Stegostoma tigrinum: one gene and its partners. The protein of the gene in region 1 interacts with the protein of each later gene in a pairwise test. Links are inferred from orthologs where the notes say so. Each region holds a gene or a part of one and is shown in the gene's direction. Other genes may lie near its edges. The genes, in order: meox1, endonuclease 8-like 2 and cwf19l2.

Evidence for each region.
Region 2: the proteins of meox1 (region 1) and endonuclease 8-like 2 interact in binary tests that used the Homo sapiens proteins (3 or more experiments, as listed by UniProt). The two-hybrid records come from large-scale screens. The link is inferred for Stegostoma tigrinum from reciprocal best matches to the Homo sapiens genes MEOX1 and NEIL2.
Region 3: the proteins of meox1 (region 1) and cwf19l2 interact in binary tests that used the Homo sapiens proteins (3 or more experiments, as listed by UniProt). The two-hybrid records come from large-scale screens. The link is inferred for Stegostoma tigrinum from reciprocal best matches to the Homo sapiens genes MEOX1 and CWF19L2.

What each region holds. Positions count from the first base shown.
Region 1 is NC_081384.1:16,804,128-16,811,049, reverse strand, and holds the start of meox1 (homeobox protein MOX-1), read left to right. Parts: upstream 1-3,857; 5' UTR 3,858-4,033; coding exon 4,034-4,517; intron 4,518-6,922. UniProt on the Homo sapiens protein: Mesodermal transcription factor that plays a key role in somitogenesis and is specifically required for sclerotome development. Required for maintenance of the sclerotome polarity and formation of the cranio-cervical joints.
Region 2 is NC_081362.1:98,889,191-98,897,118, reverse strand, and holds the start of endonuclease 8-like 2, read left to right. Parts: upstream 1-4,877; 5' UTR 4,878-5,137; coding exon 5,138-5,275; intron 5,276-6,255; coding exon 6,256-6,605; intron 6,606-7,573; coding exon 7,574-7,770; intron 7,771-7,928. UniProt on the Homo sapiens protein: Involved in base excision repair of DNA damaged by oxidation or by mutagenic agents. Has DNA glycosylase activity towards 5-hydroxyuracil and other oxidized derivatives of cytosine with a preference for mismatched double-stranded DNA (DNA bubbles).
Region 3 is NC_081359.1:69,860,815-69,868,293, reverse strand, and holds the start of cwf19l2 (CWF19-like protein 2), read left to right. Parts: upstream 1-4,377; 5' UTR 4,378-4,383; coding exon 4,384-4,476; intron 4,477-7,479.

The sequences.
Region 1 (6,922 bases):
ATTTAAAATCTGTACAGTTCAACATAAATCTGCATGGCATTGACAACTACCTTTCTGAGACAAAGTAGTCTATTACATTTGCCAATTACATCGTTTCTTTATGGTAAATGGGCTCTGTGTATAAAAGGTGACTGCGATTGTGCAATTAACCAAGAGGCAATACTCTGAATTTGGACGATTACAATGTAAATTGATTAAGAAAGACAAAACATAGGATTTAAAGGAGCTATTCTGCATTATTGGATGTACATTCTTTTTATGATAACAGCACTATTATTTGGTTTCTTTCCACTGCATAAAAGACTAGTGCCTGTAGAAATTTGATTTTAGTTTAAATCAATTTTAAAAGGGCTGTGTCATCAAAATTCAGGGGAGGCTGTGTTCCAGGACTATTCACTGAAAATTTAATGCATCATCAATGGGGTGGACACCTAGGAATGTTGGCATGTCAACTATGATACCTCTGTCGCCTGTAGTGGTGCATGAAACAATATTCTTATAGTTATTTTAATAATATTTTAGTTAACCTGTAAAATGATATTGTGTCATCAGATGCCATACGATATACAGTGACATGCCACTTTGCAAGTTGTTTCTACCCAGTCCTTTACATATAAATGTGACAAAATGTCTCCCACAAGAAAGACCGTCCCAACACAAACACACATCTCCACTCCTTTAAGGCACTTAACTCTTAGAAGCTAATCATCAGCATGCAGAGCCATCAACGGTCAGGCACAAATGCAGCCATAAAAGTGAGCCTTTTGGATCCTCTATTTTCAACATAAGAAAGTCAAGAGGTTAGAGTAATGGTCTCATACAGGCACAGTTTCAAACTGACTCAGTCCCAAGATGCTTAGAACAACCTAATTTTCATGATTGTTGCCTTTGAGATCTCTGTAGATATTTGGTTTTTAAAAGTTGACACTCAATCTTCTACTCTTAAAAATCTTTCCACAACCGCCAATTTCATCTGAAATAATTGATAACTCAATGGAAAGATATTTTCTTAAACATCCTAATAAAACTTCCATTTTAGTTGGGGAAACATTGCTAGCACATTTGTGGGTTATTTTCATGGTAGTGATTCTAAAAGTAGGTAACATTTCTTTTGTCATTTTCTGTCTTGCCTAATAAAATCAATAAAAGTTGTCAAACTCCACTTTATTGATACATTGGGTCCTTAAAATTCATGCGCAATAATTGGCTCTGTGAAATCTTGAAGTTTCAAAAGGCTAGATCTACCGCTTGGAGGTCTGCGCCTTTGTAATTGAGCAATTAAAAGTCACTGTTGGGTTTTATTAATTACAGACTGCAGGATACTTCCAGCTCAACACATGTTATGTAACCAATGTAACTTTATTCTTCTTCTCTTCACAAGGTCTGAAATTTAAAATGACGAATACAGGTAAAGGACCGTGGGTCAAAAACACTGTATAAGGTTTTTGAAATTTACCATAACAGTAAATAAACCCATAGTCTAATATAAAACAATTCCTGTAAATTCATATTTTAATATTCATAAAATATAGCGACAATCTCTGCTGACTAGTTTCCTGATAAAGAAAAAAAATGACATTTTTTTGCAATGATATAGCTACAAGATATAGTCATGTAAATAACAAATGCTTCTTATGTTTTCTCTTGCTCATGCTCAGTCCTGTTCACCCATCAGCCATGCCCAAAATATGTTAGCTCCTGATCAACCAATGTTTAAAATTCCCAAACTTATAAACAAAAACAGAAATTGCTGGAAAAATGAAGCAGGTCTGAGCATAGCGGAGAGAAATCAGAGTTAACCTTTTGGGTCCAGTGACCCTTGTTCAGAACTGTTCTCAGACCTGCTGAGTTTTTCCAGCAATTTCTGACGTGTTCATGTGCGTCTTTTTAAATAGGATTTTCAGCATCCCTATTTATTTTAGTTTCACATTGTTATACTTTAGTTCCTTTATGACTCTGCACCTCTCTGACAAGGGGAGGTAATAGACTAGTGATATTATTACTCGACTACTAATCCAGAGACCCAGGTCATGTCCTGTGGACATGGGTTCAAATCCTGCCCTGGTAATGGTGCAATCTGAATTTGAAAATAAATCAAAATTTGGAATTAGAAACCTAATTTGACCATGAAACTGTTGTTGAAAACTCCCATCTAGTACACTCTATGCTTATTAGGGAAGGAAACTACTATCATAGAATTATATAGCATGGAAACAGGCCCTTTGGTTCAACTTCTCTGCACCAATTAGATATCTCAGTCTAACCTAGTCTCATTTGGGCCATATCCCTCTAAATCCTTCCTATTCATGTACCCATCCAGATGCCTTTTTAAATTTTGTAATGTACCCACCTCTGCCACTTCCTTTGGTGATGTGTTCCATATATGCACCATCCTGTGTGTGAAAAGTTACTCTTCAGGTCCTTTTTAAATCTTTCCCCTCTCAGCTTAAACCCCTGCCCTCTAGTTTAGACCCAGTCTGGCCTATATATGATGCAAGATCCACTATAATATGGTTTACTCTTCCATGCCCTCTGAAATGGCTGAGTGAATGACTCAGTTCAATTAGGGATGGACCCAGCCTGCTACACCACATCGTATGAATGAAAATAAAGTCTGTAACCTCCTCAAACCTTCTAAAAACCATGCATTCATTCAATTCTGGCACAATATACATCCCTCCCTTACTTCTTTGAATGTAGTATCACTTCTCTGTGCCTTAAGCCATCTCAGCAGGGGCGGCGCTGTAGCTCATTGGTTAGCACTGCCGTCTCACAGCTCCAGCGTCCCAGATTCGATCCCACCCTCAGGCAACTGTCTGTGTGGGGTTTGCACATTCACCCCATGTCTGTGCGGGCTTCCTCTAGTTTCCTCCCACAGTCCAAAGATGTGCAGTTTAGGTGAATTGGCCGTGCTGTGATGTCCAGGGATGTGTCAGTTGGGTGGCCTAGCCATGGGGAGTGCAGGGTACAGTGATAGGGTAGGGGGATAAGTCTGGTTGCAATGCTCTTCAGAGAGTCAGTGGGCCAAATGGCCTGCTCCCACACTGTAGGGATTCTATTCTATGATTCCTCTCTCTCTTTCTTTTGAAGACCTTTCCATCCAGATTTTGGCCATTGATCTTCATTGCTCTTTTCTAGCTTAGTATCAACTGATTATGTCCTTGTGAAGCACCTTGTAAAGTTATTCTATGTTATAAGGGCACTACATAAAAGTACTATGTTTTTGCTAACATTATTTTGATTAAAATTATGCATCCTAGAACAGACAGAATAAAAAGTTTAATACTTGCGCTTTGAAGATTCTCAGGGTTGCATGACCTTTGTAAACCCACTGAACAAATATAGCTCAATGCAGTCACTGGCATCATCTGAACCTTTAAAGCATAAAACATTGGAGCAGAGGTAGGTTATTCAGCCCAATAGAGTATTGTAAAGAAGCTTAACATTATGATTTCTACCCCACTTTGGCTGTGCTTAACTTTAACCTTTACGTGAATTATTCCAAAAATTGGTGCGTGTTGTGGCTGCCCTGGACTGTTCGAGAGGCAAAGGCTATTCCTGAGATACAGTTCTAAATTGTATCAAACGTGTTCATGTGCGTCTTTTTCCCCCACAAAAAAACAACCTGGGGAGGGACACTGCTGTCTGGCTTTCAAATGTCTGTGATGTCCCTGGTCTGAAAAAGCCATTAAGTTGTGCATATAAAATTTCTGCGCATACAGTAATGCTCGTGATTAATCGCAGCAATGTTTTCCTTGGTTGGAGTAATCCAACATGTGGTGCTCAACCCCGCCCCTCTCACATTACACACTATAAACTTGTCACTTTTCCCACCAAAGCACTCAGAGGGAGTCAGGCTCATAGAGTGCAGGCATGTCAGCAATTTGTTTTTTTTTAAAAAGGAAAAACTTGTGATCTTTGCAAATTGCTAATTGAAGGTTTGAAGTGGCTAAGATCGTTGCATTTTTGTTTTTTTGCAGAGTTGTAGGATTTAAAGCACTTTCTGGTGCACAGAGCATCTTGCAACTTCTCCATGGAACAGAGCACAGGCAGCTGCATGCGCAATTCGCATTCCGGGGCCACCGTCTGGGGCTGTATGAGAAATCCACATTCCGGGGCCGGCGTGCCCGGCCTGCACCATTACCCGTCGCCTTTCTCCTTCTACAAGAAGTCCGACCCCGCCGACTTCACCGCCTACTCGGAATTCACGTCGCCGTGCCTGGTGTCAGCGGCGCACGGCTTCCCCGCAGAGGACCGCGTTTACGTGGACCACCACCCGCCCAGGTTCCCCCGCTCCGAGTGGCACCTTCCGCCGCCGCCGGCCCCACCCCCTCCCGCCCCGACGGCGGCCAGGGAGAGACAAACTTCCTGCCTGTCCGCCAGCTCCGCCAATTTCGAAACCGGTGGGAACTCGCAAGCGGCCGGCTGCCTTAGCGCTGGGGATTACAGTAGCCCGCGGGGTATCGCGGCGTCCGACATCGACAAGAAAGTAACCAAAAGGAAACGCGACGTTTTAGGTGAGAGACACATTGTTATTCCCAATAAAGCATGAAATTAAATATCGATTCTTTTTTAAAGAAAAACTCCAGCAACATGCTTTCCAAAGTAAAATACAGTGTGTTCCACCCTACAGGGGACTCTTGTAAAAGTTTGTTTCTTTTTATATAACAAAACATCGCTTGCATCAAATTCTCATTTGTTTTGAAGAATTATATTCGTCCCAATCCCGCAACAAACCAAAAACAAAACGGCAGATCTCAAATCCACTTTTTAGCCCAAAATTAAAAGGAAATGGTCAATCCCAAATAGACTTCTTTCCAAAACCATTGAAAGTTTTGAGTCTGCGTTATTACATTTGCAGTGATGCAGTTTATAAACGATAAAACTTTATTTGTGGGTCTTCCACACCTGTCAAAAAAAGTTAATTAGCTGCAAAAAAGTTGCATCTGTAACAAGATGAAATGAGAGAAAAATGTTTTAGCCTGGTTTCTTACATTTCAATAGTTATTGAAATATTATGAAAATTAATTTCAGTGCCGTTTCTAATTTCACTCATTTGAAATTACCCTTTCGTTCACCAGTAGAATTAGTATTGAAAAGCTGTTCCCCAAAGCTCAGTTAGTTGGAGCAGTAAATGACTAGTCCCTGGTCCATTAACCTGACAACCATTTCATCCATCCCAGTTCATCCGAATACAACGAAGTGCATTCAGAATTCTCAATAACAAAAACAAGAGTATTGCTGATAAGGAGATATAATGGGACCAACTGGTACCTAATCAGGTACAAAACAGGGAATCATCCCAATTGCAAACAAAAAAAAGATCAGGAGGTTACCAGTATCCTTATATCCAAACTGAATATACATGTTGTATGTTGTCAAATCCCATTCATTAAGATCACTTGATTTGGACCAGTTCTGCACAAAGGATGCGAGTGGCACCTCAGCTTTCCTAGCTGTTAGGTGGATAACATGTAGTTTTACATCATTCTCAGAACCTGTTACATAGGCATCTGAAACACCTTCAAATCTTCTCTCAAAAGACAAATGTTTACTGAAAGTATTGAAATGGATAACTATAGAGAAAGCAAATATTCAAATCCAATATCAGTTCAGTTTGGTTAAATTATTCAAACTTTCTTGCTCATTTTTGACACTTAAACTCACTGATTACGTTTCAACCATATGACCGACTCCTGTATTTCACCATTTGCTATGTTTTGAGTTATTCTCAATCTTATAACAATACTTGTGCAGTTTTTAAGAACATAATCCACATTAGCACAAAGAATATTCCAAAATTTCTTCCATAAAATCAGCATATGTTTTGCATTATCAAAGTTTAATTTGTATTTTAAAGAGTACCAGGTACTAATATGTAATAGAACTTAAGCCTAAAATTGAGAACAGAATGAGCATAGTAGGGCACTCATTTATGAAAAAAATGATGGCATCCATTTAATATTCTAGCTTCAGATATGCCTGAAAATTAGTATTAACCTTCACCTTTTAAGTGGGTGATGTAGTATGTACATGCAAAATAACTTTTTGAAGAAAATAAATCAAATTTCATTTGAAAATACAGAAAGGCAAACATTAGCATAATGGTTCCTACAACTTTGGTCTTTCTTTAAAACTATAATGTTTCATGTGTTTTAAACAGTGAATCAGGAAGATGGTAATTTAATGAAAAACCCTAACAAATAAAACACATCTAAGTCAACCACTTGCAAGTATTAAATGCCATGAAGTTAATTGTGAGATTTGGTGGACTGCATTAGATAGTAGTATATTTACGGCTTAAATGAAAAGTGCTGAAAGATGGTGATACAGTAGAACTGGAGATATTGTAAGTGCAGTATGTATGAATATTTCAAATATAGACATCATTCAAGGAAAATCTAATTCCATATCACCTAAAATACCAACATTTAAAAAAAACTCATTGAACTTTCTGATTTGGAGGAGGGAAGCTTTCCAAATTCAAAATGATTCAAAATTATTTTAATTTCAGAAAATTTAAATGATTTATGCAATGAAAGAAAATAACTTCTTATTCTAATTTGATTTGTGCTTGTTTTCTGTAACTTGGAGTCAATGTTTTTGCTCATTAATTTTAACATTTTTGTAATTTTGTTTCACAAAATTAATAATGTCTAAGCTTGATTATTTGGAATTTTAGAAATTTTCTAAAAGTTTGCAAGTTTTTTGAGGAGTGAAAGTGATGCAAGTGTTCTAGGTAGCCCTTCACCAGATACAATTGTTTTATTTGATACATTCTACTTCAGTTGTAAGTGGGAAATATGCTTGAATAATGTATTTTCATTGTAACCAGTTCAGCTTTGGTGATTGACTAGTGTTGCGAGCATTCATAGTTTTTAGAAAACACAGTCATTTTTGTATGTATTACTCACATTGCTTT
Region 2 (7,928 bases), on another chromosome or scaffold:
TTCCTACTATCTCTGTAGAAATTAATGAATTATTTTCACATTAGCAGGCAGTAACTAGTGGGGTGCCACAGGGATCAGTGCTGGTGTCAGGCTCGTTTTCAGAGACCCTCACGGACTTGCTGCAATAACAAGACACTGACCTGTTTGGAAAAACACAAATCCTTTTATTACCAAGCAAGTACAAGCTGTGGAGAATCACGGTACTCGACCCGGCACAGAGTACAGAGTCTCGCAAGTAATTCTCTCCGAGCAGCGGACAGTCCCCGCTTTTTATACTTTACAAAAGACATGATACATAAAACGATTTCATAATTTACAATGGCATGATACATAAAACAATTACTACAACAGACAAAAACAGGATACCAAACAATTATTCCATCAACAAAATAAAAGACCAGGATATAGTATTGATTGCTAGTGAAGTAGCTGCTAATGGCAGGAGGCGATTTTGAGTTGTGAGTTCAAGTTGCCAGTGTGTCTGGCTAGAACAGTCAGTGCCCTGGCCCCTTTGTCAGCAACAGAAGTTACATGCTTTAGAGGTTTCACGCCTTTACAAATTTTCCCCACCTAACCCATTTGAAACAGTTTGATTCTAATTTTAATTCAGTCAGGAAGCTTAAGACAGTGTCTGCGTACCGATGTGTGAGAAGACAAGGAGTTACAAAAGCTTTACACTGAATTCCTAGCTAGGCAGGAAGCTTCAGGGCAGTGCCTGCATACCGATGTGTAGGTAGATAAAAGACTTTACTTCTATAAATTAAAGTCTCTGTATAGGAATAAAATGCAGATAAAAGACTTGAATTTATAAAAGTATAGAAATCAATGGCATGTATTCACATTAACATCTCACTGGGACCCCAGCTATTCATAATATATATGAATAATTTGGATAAGGGAACAAAGTGTAACATCTCCAAGCTTGCAAATGATACGAAGTTGGGTGGGTGGGTAGGGGGTGGTGGCGGGGACTTGCTGAGGATACAGAAATCCATCAGCATGATCACTACAGGTTGGGTGAGTGGGCAAATCGATGAAAGATAGCATATATTTTGGATAAATGTGAGATTATTCACTTCAGAAGCAAAAACAAGGTGGCAGATTACTACCTGAATGGCTGTAAATTGGGAGAGGGGAGCGCGCAGCGGGACCCAGGTGTCCTTGTGCACCAGATGCTGAAGGTAAGCATGCAGGTGCAGCAGGCGGTAAAGACGGTAAATGGTATGTTGGCCTTCGTTGCGAGAGGTTGAGAGTACAGGAGCAGGGATTTGTTGTTGCAGTTATACGGGGCCTTGGTGACACTGTACCTAGAACATTATTTGGTATCCTTTTCTGAGGAAGGATGCTCTAGCTTTCGAGGGAGTGCAGTGAAGGTTTACCAGGCTGATTCTGGGGGTGATATATGAGGAGGGATTGACTAGGTTAGAATTGTTTTTGCTGGAGCTCAGATGAATGAGGGAGGAGTCTCATAGGGACGTATAAAATTCTAACAGGACTGGACAGAGTAGATGCAGGGAAGAAGTTCCCGATGGTGGGTGTGTCCAGAACCAGGGGTTACAGTCTGAGGATTTGTGGGAGACCATTTAGGATGGAGATGAGGAGACATTTCTTCACCCAAAGAGTGGTAAGTCTGTGGAATTCATTACCACAGGAAGTAGTTGATGCCAAAACATTGAATGTATTCCAGAGGTGACTAGATATAGCACTTGGAGGTGAATGGGATCAAAGGTTATGGAGAGAAAGCAAGATTAGGCTCTTGAGTTAGTCAATCAGCCATGATCATGAAGAATGGTGGAGTAGGCTTCAAGGGCTGAATGGCCTCCTCCTGCTCCTATCTTCTAGATTGGGACCCAAATCTACTCACAATATCCAAAGGCAGTGGCAGAGCCATATACAAATTCAGCAGTACATCTCTGCTCCTGTATTCTCGCCCTCTTGAAATGAATACTAACACTGCATTTGCATTTCTAACTGCCAACTGAAGCCACATATTCACCTTAGAGAAACCCAAACTAGGACTCCCAAGTACCTTTTCTGCTTCAGATTTCCAAAGTCTTTTCCCATTAAGAAAATAGTCTACACCTCTATCCTTCCTGACAAAATGTAAAGCTTCACAATTTATCACAATATATTCGATCTGCTGCTTCTTCTCCTATCCTGTCCAAGTCCTTCTGCGGTCTTTGACAGCATGAACTGCAGATGCTCGAGTCAAAATCAACACAGTGTGAATCTGGATGAACGCAGCAGGCCAGGCAGCATCAGAGGAGCAGGAAAGTCATTGTTTCAGGTCAGGACCTTTCTTCAGAAGTGGGGACGGGAAAGGGAGCTGGGAAATAAATAGAGGGAGGAGGGTTGGGGCTGGGGGAAGGTATGTGGGATGGTGATAGGTGAGTGCAGGTAGGACATGGTGGGGATTGGTCAGTAGGAAGGGTGGGGCAGATTGGTGGGGAGGAAGATGGACAGGTAGTGTCAGACCAAGGAGGCAGGAGGAGGGTGGGGCCGAGGAGAGGTAATTTGAATGGTAATAACCTGTCCAAGTCCTTCTGCACTCTTCCCGCTTCCTCAATACTACCTGTCTCTAACTCTTTTCATGTCATCTACCTGGCAATAATGTCCCCAGTTCCCTCATCCAGATTGTTAATGTGAACAGTTGTGATACTAACACTGACCCCTGTGGAACTCCACCAGTCACTGGTTGTTATCGTGAAAAAGATCCCTTTATCCCCACTCTCTGTTTTCTGCCAGGCAGCCAATCCTCTATCCATTCCAGTACCATGCCCCGAATGCCATGGGCTCTTTTTTTTATTTAGCAGCCTCCTGTTCAGTGCCTTGTCAAAGGCCTTCTAAAAATCCAAATTGATCACTTCCCCTGGTTCTCGTCTGTCTAACTTAAACATTATCTACTCAAAGAATTCTAGTAGATTTGTCAGACATGATCTCTTCTTGATAAAGCCATGCTGACTTAGATCTGTTTGACTGTGCTGTCCCAAGTACTGCACAGAACCCCAGGGAATATACATAAATGATCTGGAGGAAGGTGTAGATGGTCTGATCAGCAAGTTTGCAGATGACACTAAGTTTGGTGGGGTATCAGATAGTGAAGGACACTGTCAGAGAATGCAGCAGAATATAGATAGACTGGAGAGTTGGGCAGAAAAATGGCAGATGGAGTTCGATCCAGGCAAATGCGAGGTGATGCATTTTGGAAGATCTAATTCAAGAGCGAACTATGTGGTAAATAGAAAAGCCCCTGGGCAAAATTGATGGATAGAGAGATCTGGGTGTTCAGGTCCATTATACCCTGAAGGTGGCAACGGAGATCGATAGAGTGGTTAAGAAGGCATACGGCATGCTTTCATTCATCGGGCAGGGTATTGACTACAAGAGTTGGAATACTGTGTACAGTTCTGGTCGTCACATTACCAAAAGGATGTGGATGCTTTGGAGAGAGTGCAGAGGAGGTTCACCAGGATAATAGGAACTTCAGATGCTGGAAAATCCAAGATAATATAGTGTGTAGCTAGATGAACACAGCAGGCTAAACAGCATCTTAGGAGCTGGAAAGCTGATGTTTCGGGCCCAGATCCTTCATCAGAAATGGGGGAGGGGAAGAGGGTTCTGAATTAAATAGGGAGAGAGGGGGAGTTGGATTGAAGATGGATAGAGGAGAAGATTGGTGGAGAGGAGACATGATGAAGGAGACTCTGATGAAGGGTCTAGACCCGAAACGTCAGCTTTTGTGCTCCTGAGATGCTGCTTGGCCTGCTGTGTTCATCCAGCTTCACACTTTGTTATCTTGGATTCTCCAGCATCTGCAGTTTCCATTATTTCTGGAGAGGAGACAGACAGATTAAAGAGGCAGGGATGGAGCCAGTAAAGGTGAGTGTAGGCGGGGAGGTAGGGAGGGGATAGGTCAGTCCAGGGAAGACGGACATGTCAAGAGGGTAGGATGAGATTAGGAGGTGGGAAATGGCAGTGCGGCATGAGGTGGGAGGAGGGCATAGGTGAGAGGAAGAACAGGTTAGGGAGGTCGGTACGAGCTGGGCTGGTTTTGGGATGCAGTGGGGGGAGGGGAGATTTTGAAGCTTGTGAAATCCACATTGATACCATTGGGCTGCAGGGTTCCCAAGCGGAATATGAGTTGCTGTTCCTGCAACCTTCGGGTGGCATCATTGTGGCACTGCAGGATGTTGCCTGGTATGGCGGGCACTTGCTATGAAGAGAGTTTAAGTAGATTAGGATTATTTTCATTAGAAGATGGAGATTGAGGGGGGACCTAATTGAGGTCTACAAAATCATGAGAGGTGTAGACAGGTTGGATAGCAAGAAGCTATTTCCCCAGAGTGGGGGACTCAATTACTAGGGGTCACGATTTCAAGGTGAGAGGGGAAAGGTTTAAGGGAGATATGCGTGTAAAGTTCTTTATGCAGAGTGTGGTGGGTGCCTGGAACGCGTTGCCAGCAGAAGTGGTAGAGACAGGCATGATAGCGTCATTTAAGATGTACCTAGGCTGATACATGAATGGGCAGGGAGCAGAGGGATACAGATCCTTGGAAAATAGGTGACAGGTTTAGACAGAGGATCTCGATCGGCACAGGCTTGGAGGGCTGAAGGGCCTGTTCCTGTGCTGTAATTTTCTTTGTTCTTTGAAGAGGAACCACAAGGCAAGCACTCTGATGAGTCATCTACTCTTGAAATGATGGCTTGCTTGCTCTCTATGGATATTGTTTGACCTGCCATGACTTATGTTTTCAGCACAAGGGGAACAAACTCCCCTGAACCTGGGAGGATGGGCCACAGGGAGACCACACCCACTGGGGAAATGGCCTCAGGGAAACCACACCCCCTGGGAGGATGGGCCACGGGGAGACCACAATCCCCTGGGAGGAGGGTCCTCTCAGAATATACCATTCTGACAGCACTCTGTGATTGGTTTGCTTTTTGCATTTATTGTATGCCAATCCCCGTTGCCTGCCTTTTGTCTCATCCTTTGAGCCAAGTCAAAGCATTGAATTCTGGTGCTTGGTCAATTGTTTGCAGGTTTTCTGCTTGAAGACAAGTTGGGGATAGAGTCACTGTTGTTGAGGCCTTGTTCTGCAGACAGTACAGCGGAGTGATAGTTGTCTGTGTAAGGGAGATGCCGGAAGGCCCTTCAGTGAGAGTGTTTCATTCTGTGACCTCCCCTTTCGTTGGCAAAGTTGTGCAGAGAGCCTCGGGGAGCACCAGACAGGTGTGTCTGCAACAATTTGTGGGTCTCAGACTGCAGCACAGTGAAGTGAGTATGATTTGTTCCTTTCTTTTTGCACTTTGATCTTACTTCTCTTTCCATTTGTTTTATTATTTGTGTAGGGATTGTGGGTGTTGCTGGCTGAGCCAGTATTCATTGGCTGGCCCTAGGTGCACTTGAGAAGGTGATGGTGAACTGCCTTGAACCACTGCAGTCATTTTGGTGTAGGTTGCTATTAGTGAGAGAGTTCCAAGATTTTGTCCTAGTGACAGGAAAGGAATGGTGATATATTTCCAAGTCAGGACGGTGAGTGGCTTGGAGACGAACCTGTGGGGGTAGTGAGCCATGTACCTGCTACACCTGTCTTTCTCGATGGAAGTAGTTGTGGATTTGGACGTTGCTGCTGAAGGACCCCTATTGAATCACTGCAGTACGTCTTGTAGAGAGTGCACACTGCTCCTACTGAGTGTCATTGGCATCACATCCACAAACATTCACACCAACAACAGGGCTACTCTGTCCTGGAGTGTGTTGAGATCCTCGAGTGTTATTGGAGCTGCTCTATCCAGGCACATGGCGAGTATTCTATCACGCTACTGACCTGTGCTCTGTAGGTGGTGGACAGGCTTCGGGGTGTCGGTAGGTGAGTTACTTGCTATGGTATTCCTAGCCTCTGACCTGCTCTTGTAGTTCATCCAGCTCCACATCTTGTTATATCATATACTTATGTGGCTTGTGCAGTTGAGTTTCCGGTCAATAGTAACCCTGAGTGGTTAGATTGTGGGTTACTCTCTCACTTTGTTCCTCTCTCCCTTCCACCGTGACTCGTGCTTCATTTGTTGTTTGCTCTGTTTGGAACTTGCTGTGTTGTTTGTTTGGAATATCTCTGGTTTTGCTGGATATATGGTTAGTGTGCTCATTCCATCTAACTCACGGTCTTGGAATCTCTCTGTATGTCTAACACACTTGACTCCCAACACTGCCTTATGCTGTTTCTGATTAAAACTAAGTCTTTCTCTTTGGTTCAGGTCCATGGCAAAAATCTCTTCCTGGGCTTTGCTTCTGTTGGCCATAGACTGGAATCCAATTGTCCAAAACTAGGGATTGCACATGCCCAGAAGATGCCTGATCCAGCCTGGGTACCAGCACAGGGCTCCGCCAGCAAGCAACAAGTGATAGAGGGGGGCACCATGAGAAAAGAGCAGGAGGAGACTTGGGAAAGCAGTGCCCTGTCCTTGGGGCAAGACCAGTTGAACCATCAGCATGAAATGCAATGGCTGCGATTTCACTTTGGGATGTTTGGAAGTGTTCGGGCCAATGAGTTTTCACGGGCAAAAGGTGCCAATAAGAAGGGAGACTGGCAGGATCCATCACCAAGGTATGGTAAAAGCAAGTTGGTGAGAGAAATGGGGTTATCATCTAGGCTAATAAAACGTGAGGCTGGATGAACACAGCAGGCCCAGCAGCATCTCAGGAGCACAAAAGCTGACGTTTTGGGCCTAGACCCTTCATTAGAGAGGGGGATGGGGTGAGGGTTCTGGAATAAATAGGGAGAGAGGGGGAGGCAGACCGAAGATGGAGAGAAAAGAAGATAGGTGGAGAGGAGAGTATAGGTGAGGAGGTAGGGAGGGGATAGGTCAGTCCAGGGAAGACGGACAGGTCAAGGAGGTGGGATGAGGTTAGTAGGCAGGAAATGGAGGTGTGGCTAGAGCTGCCTTCAGAAATGGGGGGAGGGGAAGGGGGATCCCCCATTTCAGAAGAAGGGTCTAGGCCCAAAACATCAGCTTTCCTGCTCCTCTGATGCTGCTTGGCCTGCTGTGTTCATCCAGCTCTACACCTTGTTATCTAGGTATTTCTAGCCAGTTTTCTGTCATTTTTTTTTCTCCTCCCTCTTAATCATCGTTTGGCTGATATTTAATTAAAACTTTCTCAATCTACAAGTTTACAACCTTTGGTTCTTTTTAAATAAATACTGTTCTTAGAATTGCTGATGAACTTAATCTCTCTTCACCCCAGAGGGAGGTGGGCAGAGAGATGGGAGTTCAGGTCTGGATCAGGGTCAGACTATATTGTATTTTAATGAGAGTGATCCCCTTTTCATTGGGGAACTGCAAGCTCTCTGTGTTCAGACTAATAGGGAAAATCAGCTCTCACCCTGAGCACCCAGAGGGGCAACAGGCCACAGGACCCTTATCTGGTTTGAGGAAGTAAACAGAAGTCAGAGGACAGAATAGTGTGAATGAGGAGGTTGAAATTCTGAGTGGAGTTCTGTGAGGAGAGATGCTAATCATTCTCTTCACCTCTCTCTCTCTCTCTCTCTCTCTCTCTCTCTCTCTGTGTCAACAGGTTGGTGCTCTATTTCCCCGGAGAGCAGTTTCTTGTGTTCTATAACTGCCGGATCTGTCTCTGCAGCAGCCCTTCCTCTGGACATACCTCTGACATCCTGCACCCGAAGTTCGACAGGAATGTGGCACTACAGGCACTGAAACAAGCTCAGCCTGTCTGCTACACCCTGCTCAACCAACAGCTGTTCTCTGGCCTTGGTCAGTAACACATTCCAGACTATTAACAGATGGTGGTAGGAAAGTAGTTTGTGAAGGGAGAAGCTGGGCATGTTTGATATTTGTGTTTACTGTTTTACCTCGGTCAGGAGTTGATTGTTCCCACGTTCTTGTGCCTTTGCCGGGTACCCAGTTATCAT
Region 3 (7,479 bases), on another chromosome or scaffold:
GGCAATGCATTCTAATGCAGCCAATTTGGAATGGCAAGGCTTTTGACAAAGTTGCAAATGAGAGACCGATCGTGAAGGTAAGAACCCATGGCATCCAAAGAAATTTGGCAAGTTGGTTTCAGGATTGGTTTAGTGATAGGAAGGAGAGGGTGGTGGTTGAGGGCTGTGTTTGAGACTGGAAGTCTGTTTCCAGTGGGGTGAATGGGCTAACCTTAGGTTATAGGAGGATATAGACAGGCTGATTGGTGGCAAATGTAATCCAATCTGGATAAGTTTGAAGTGATGCACCTGGACATGATGAATGGTAGTACCCTGGGAAGTACCAAGGATCGGGGCACCCTGCAGAGCATGTACAGTGGTAGCAGGACAAGTAGCTAGAGTGGTTGAGAAGGCAGATGGGATTATGCCATTATTAGAATTTTTTGATGTGTACTCAAGTAAAACATACAGTGAAAAGTGTACAAAGTCACCCTTCTCCAGTGGCATCTTGGTTACAAAACCAGAATTTAAAAAGAAAACATTGGCAGAAATAAAAGAATGTTAAAAATTTAAATCTTATCTCCATACAAGTGTTTGGATCCACTTGGACCCACCTGGGCCTAGCTACTGCCTGGAATTTTGGTCAGCTTGTGAACCTTGCATCATTCACCAGAAGGAGTCATGTCTTTGCAGCTCCTCCCAGTGATCAGAGGAAGCAATCACTACCTCCTGCTGCCAACTCAGACCACCAGGAGGCTGCTGCAATTCTGCGTGAGTCCTGCTGCCATGCCAGTATTGCCAATTAAACTGCAGCAGAAGCCTCAACAAGAGAATGCACAAATAATTGTCACAATCCCGTCACTCGTGTAGCCTACTGTCTATATCTGGAACAACTTTGTGCATTCTGGAATATTAGCATACTCCAAACCTCAGAAAAGTAAGGGTTTTGTAACTCCCTGTTTGATCGTGATGAGATCCCATGGGCTGGATAGGTCAAAGTGTGACCCAAAGGAACAAGTGTAAGCATCACCCTGTACGTCACAGAGAGATCCGACATCAGACAAGGCATGAACGTTAAGAGGGGGGAGGTTAGCTGAAACTATATAAAGCATAAAGCCATAGCTAGAGTATTGTGTGCAGTTCTAGAGTACACATTATGAGGGATATGATTGTATTGTAGAGTGTGCAGGGGAGGTTTAACAAAACGTTGCCTAGGAGGAAAAGTCTGAGTAATGAGGACAGGCTGGGTTTATTTTCCTTGGAGCAGAGGAGGCTGAGGGCATTGCGGTTCTGATTCAGATATGCAAAATATAAAACACACAGTAGATAGGTTTTTCTAAGGATGGCAAATTCCCTAGTGTCTTTTGTCAGTTAGCTACTGGCAACTAGGGTGTGATCATAATAGTTGCAAACCCAGTCACAACATGACACAAAGGTGGCAGTTACCAATTAGCTGTTGGTCGTGTGTTTTTAGGTATGCCTGAACAGCTCTCTGTTGGACAGTCTCTGCACACCATAACAGGGGAAGAAACTCGAAATAATGCTGTAAATCCTCATTCCAAACCTGGCAGGAAAATTTTATTCAACAGGTGTACAGAATGTTGGAAAGCCTTTCTCTCCACATCTCTGTACAGATGCTGCTGGTCCTGATGAGTTTATGCAGTAATATTTTGTTTCAGGGTTTTTCTTAGAGTCTACTTGTCAGGGGCTCTGTACGGTCCTGATGTGCACCTCCTAGCTATGCTTCAGAAGCAACTACCTGCCAATTTTTAAGAGATAATGGGAACTGCAGATGCTGGAGATTCCAAGATAATCAAGTGTGAAGCTGGATGAACACAGCAAACCAAGCAGCATCTCAGGAGCATAAAAGCTGACATTTTGGGCCTAGACCCTTCGTCGGAGAGGGTTTTGGAATAAATAGGGAGAGAGGGGGAGGTGGACCAAAGATGGAGAGAAAAGAAAATAGGTGGAGAGGAGAGTATAGGTGGGGAGGTAGGGAGGGGATAGGTCAGTCCAGGGAAGACGGACAGGTCAAGGAGGTGGGATGCGGTTAGTAGGTAGGAAATGGAGGTGCGGCTCGAGGTGGGAGGAAGGGATGGGTGAGAAGAAGAACTTCCAATTCCCTGGCCCCCAACACCTCATTTTCACCATGGACATCCAGTCCCTATACACCTGCATTCCTCATGCAGATGGCCTCAAGGCCCTCCGCTTCTTCCTGTCCCACAGGCCCGACCAGTCCCCTCCACCGACACCCTCATCCGCCTAGCCGAACTCGTCCTCACCCTCAACAACTTCTCTTTCGATTCCTCCCACTTCCTACAAAGGGGGTGGCCATTGGTACCTGCATGGGCCCAAGCTATGTCTGCCTCTTTGTAGGTTACGTGGAACAGTCCCTCTTCCGCACCTACACAGGCCCCAAACCCCACCTCTTTCCTCTGTTACATTGATGACTGTATCGGCGCCGCCTCTTGTTCCCCAGAGGAACTCGAACAGTTCATCCACTTCACCAACACCTTCCACCCCAACCTCAAGTTCAACTGGGCCATCTCCAACACATCCCTCACCTTCCTGGACCCCTCAGTCTCCATCTCAGGTAACCAGCTAGAAACTGATGTCCATTTCAAGCCCACTGACTCCCACAGCTACCTAGAATACACCTCCTCCCACCCACCTTCCTCCAAAAATTCCATCCCCTATTCCCAATTCCTCCGCATCTGCTCCCAGGATGAGACATGCCACTCCCGCACATCCCAGATGTACAAGTTCTTCAAGGACCGCAACTTTCCCCCCATAGTGATCGAGAATGCCCTTGACGGCGTCTCCCGCAACACATCCCTCACACCCCGCCCCCGCCACAACCACCCCAAGAGGATCCCCCTCGTTCTCACACACCACCCCACCAACCTCCGGATACAACGCATCATCCTCCGACACTTCTGCCATCTACAATCCAACCCCACCACCCAAGACATTTTTCCACCCCCACCCTTGTCTGCTTTCCGGAGAGAACACTCTCTCTCTGACTCCCTTGTTTGCTCCACACTCCCCTCCAACCCCACCAAACCCGGCACCTTCCCCTGCAACCGCAGGAAGTGCTACACTTGCCCCCTCACCCCCTCCCTCACCCCCATCCGAGGCCCCAAGATAACTTTCCACATTCAGCAGAGGTTCACCTGCACATCTGCCAATGTGGTATACTGCATCCACTGTACCCGGTGCGGCTTCCTCTACATTGGGGAAACCAAGCGGAGGCTTGGGGACCGCTTTGCAGAACACCTCCGCTCAGTTCGCAATAAACAACTGCCCCTCCCAGTCGCGAACCATTTTAACTCCCCCTCCCATTCTTTCGACGACATGTCCATCATGGGCCTCCTGCAGTGCCACAAGGATGCCACCCGAAGGTTGCAGGAACAGCAACTCATATTCCGCTTGGGAAGCCTGCAGCCCAATGGTATCAATGTGGACTTCACCAGCTTCAAAATCTCCCCTTCCCCAACTGCATCCCAAAACTAGCCCAGTTTGTCCCCTCCCCCCACTGCATCACACAACCAGCCCAGCTCATCCCCTTCCTCCACTGCATCCCAGAACCAGCCCAGCCTGTCTCTGCCTCCCTAACCTGTTCTTCCTCTCACCCATCCCTTCCTCCGACCTCAAGCCGCACCTCCATCTCCTACCTACTAACCTCATCCCACCTCCTTGACCTGTCTGTCTTCCCTGGACTGACCTATCCCCTCCCCACCTACACTCTCCTTTCCACCTATCTTCTTTTCTCTCCATCTTCAGTCCGCCTCTCCTTCTCTCCCTATTTATTCCAGAACCCTCTCCCCATCCCCCTCTCTGATGAAGGGTCTAGGCCCGAAACGTCAGCTTTTGTGCTCCTGAGATGCTGCTTGGCCTGCTGTGTTCATCCAGCTCCACACTTTGTTATCTGCCAATTTTTAAGTTTTGCTTATTATTCCTCAGTTGACACTAAACTGTAGATTTTAAAATCTGACAAAATTTGACTTTTCTTTTGCACTAGCATATATTTTGATACTAGAAATGAACGTTTATATCCAATTAAAACCGAAAGAACTGAGGATGCTGTAAATCAGAAACAAAAACATAAGTTGCTGGAAAAGGTCAGCAGGTCTGGCAATATTTGTGAAGGAAAAAAAATCAGTGTTAACGTTTCGGGTTCAGTGGCCTTTCCTCAGAACGCTCTGACTATTTTTCACAGATGCTGCCAGACCTGCTGAGCTTTTCCAATAACTTCTGTTTTTGTTTATATCTAATTCTCGTATAAACAACTGAAAAGGAGAAGAAAGCAACAATTCTTCCAAGTGTGCGCGCGCAGCTTCCGGGACACCGGCGAATCTTCACGACGGCTGTCGTAAAAGTTCTTGTTGCTAAGGTAAAGGCAAGATGGCGGAATACGGAGGCAGGTTTGAAAGTGCGAAAGCAATCGAGGAACGAAGAGAATTTAAACGAAAAGCGAGAGAGGAAATTGTGACCAAGGTATTGTCTCAGTTCTGTCTATTTGTTTGCATCAGCCGTGACCAGGACGCAGACGATCTAACACTTTTAACCGAGCCCCCTCCCCATCACCCATAGTAAACACAGCGAGAGGCCAAATAGCTTACGGCGTTGTTGACAGCCCGAGGAATGTCAACTTCGCAAGGGTTGGGTGAATTCACTTATAAAGTTAACCTTTACTGTTTGTATTTAATTAGTTTATTCGTGTCAATTAAAAAGTGCTGGGGTGTCCTTATTTTTAGTTTATAGATATGGCTTGGATGAAGGGATTGAAGATATAGCTGCTAAATTTAAAAATAATTAGTAATGCAAGTTGTAAAGTGCTCGTAAGGAGGCTGCCAAATGTTGTAGACTCCAATGAATGGGCAAGGATCTGGCAAACGGAGTATAACGTGCGGAAATACAAAATTGTCGATTTTGGCAGGAAGAATAAAAAAGCATATTGTCTAAGCAGTAAGAGATTGCTGAACTCTTAGGTTTGGAGGGATCTAAGCGTCCAAGTGCATGAGTTGCAAAATATTATTGAGCGGGTGCAACAACTAAGTAGGATAACAAGAAAATGTTATTATTTATTGTTAGGGGAATTGAATATAAACGTTGGTAGATTATACTTCAGTTATGTGGAGCATTGGTGAGTATACATTTGGAGTCCTTTGTACAGTATTAGTTTCCTTTTTAAGGAAGGAGGTAAAAGCACCCTTGCTAAACTCATATCTGGAATGGACAAATTGTCTTCTGAGGAAATATTGGGACAGGCTAGGCTTGATTTTGCAGGAGTTAGAAGAGTAAGATGCACTTGGTTGAAATATTCAGGATCCTGAGGGTCTTGACAGATTGCAGGTGAAAAGGTTGTTTCTTCTTTGTAAGCAAAGTGACTCATAGATCTAACTATCTTAAAAATAAGGGGTCACCTATTTTGGGCAGATAAGATTTTTTTGCGGGTTATGAGTTTTTGGATCCCAAAATGTTGTGGAAGCAGAGCCCTTGAATATTTTTAAGGTAAAGGTAGACAAGTTCTTGGTGAACAAGTGGGTGAAAGGCTGTTGTGTGTAGACAGGAATGTGGAGTGATCCAATCTGCCATGATTTTATTGAATGGAATCTAGGATTGAGGGGCTTAAAGGCTTACTGTTGCCTCAGTTCATATGTTTACATATCCCTCACAGCCCTTGACTCCCTTGTCTATCAAGAATCTGTCTAACTCTACCTTGAACATAGTGACCCCACTGCTCTGTGGAAGGGAATTTCAAAGATTAAGAATCCTCAGAGAAGATTTGCTGCTCATCTCTGTCACAAATGGATGACATCTAATTTTGAACGTACTTGTTTGAATTCTAAATTCTCATGTGAGCGCAAAAGAAAATCCTCTTAACATCTGCCCTGTTAAGCTCCCTCAGAATCATTGTGCTTTTCTGAACTGCTTGTAATGCAGGTATATCTTACCTTGTGTAAGGGAACAAAACTATAGAGTATTTCAGGTGTGAACTTCTCAGTGCCCTAATTCTAACCTTCATTCCCTTTCCAACAAAGGCCCACCCTCTACACGCCATCCTATGTACTTGATGATTTGGAGGCGAGGTGGTGAATGGCCTGCTCCTAATTTTGCATGTTCTCATGTGCATATCTTCAGCAGGAAAAATATTATAGGAGGAAAGGAAAACTGAAGTAAAATCTAAATATTTTGTACTTTGGCCCTTTTTAAGTAAAGCTGTTTTCTGTGCATTCCTCGCATTCGCGATGAAATAAATTGTTATGTGAGTTGGTGAAGCATAGTGGCAAGATATTGCAGCACTTGATCAAGATTTCAGCCTTGTTAATTCATCTGAATTCAAGTCAGAAGTTAAAATTGGTAGCTTTTTGTAAAAAAAATTAGTATTTTACAACAATATACACGTATTCGTAGAAACAGGAAATGGTTATAGCACCAAAGGAGACCATTTGCCTTCCTAAGTCTGCACAGGAAAGATCACCTAGCTCAATTCCCTTGCTCTTTTTTCTTTAACACTGCAAATCATTTATTGTCAGTTGTTTATCTAGTTTCATTTTGAAAGGCCTAATCTGTTTGGCTGCACAACACACTAAGGCAGTTCATTTTAGATCCTAATATTCGCCTTTATGTAAGAAAACTATATGCTCCAGGAGATGGTGCCAGTTAATCAAAAATGCCTGTAAAGGAGGTGTTATATTTATAGATAGAACACCATGCAATTTGACAAGTGGAAGCTTTTAATGGTGTGCTCATGAGAGTTTAGAGGAACTCTGTTCCTATTAGAGTGGAGGGCAAAGCTGATAAGAGTAGGGGTCAATGGATGAATAAAGATATTGAGGTTCTGGTTAAGAATAAGAGTCGTACATTAGATATGGGCAGCTGGGATCTAATGAATGCCTTGAAGAGTATAAAGAGTGTAGAGTCATTCTTGAGAGGGAAATCAGGAGGGCAAAAAGAGAAGGGGCCATGGGAACTGCAGATGCTGGGGAATCTGAGATAACAAGGAGTAGAGCTGGATGAATACAGCAGGCCAAGCAGCATCAGAGGTGCAGGAAGGCTGAAGAAGGGTATAGGCCCAAAATGTCAGCCTTGCTGCTTCTCTGATGCTGCTTGGTCTGCTGTGTTCATCCAGCTCTACACCTTGTTATCTCGGGCAAAAAGATCATATGTGATAGCCTAGGCAGATAAGTTTAAGGATAATCTGAAGAGAGTCTGCAAGTATGTTAACAGCAAAAGCTAGGGAGTGAATCAAGCCCCATAATGATCAATAAAGCTATCTATATGTTGAACCTCAGGAGATGGAAGAGATACTGAATGAAGATTTCGCAATAGTTCTTACTATTGAGAAAGGAATGGAGGCTAGAGAATTTGGGAAATAAATAGTGATGTTTTGAAAAAAATTCACATTACAGAAGAGGAAGTGCTGGGGCCTTAGAAAATACAAATGTGGATAAATCTCCAGGACCTAATCATCTGTATCCCAGCATCTTGTGGGAC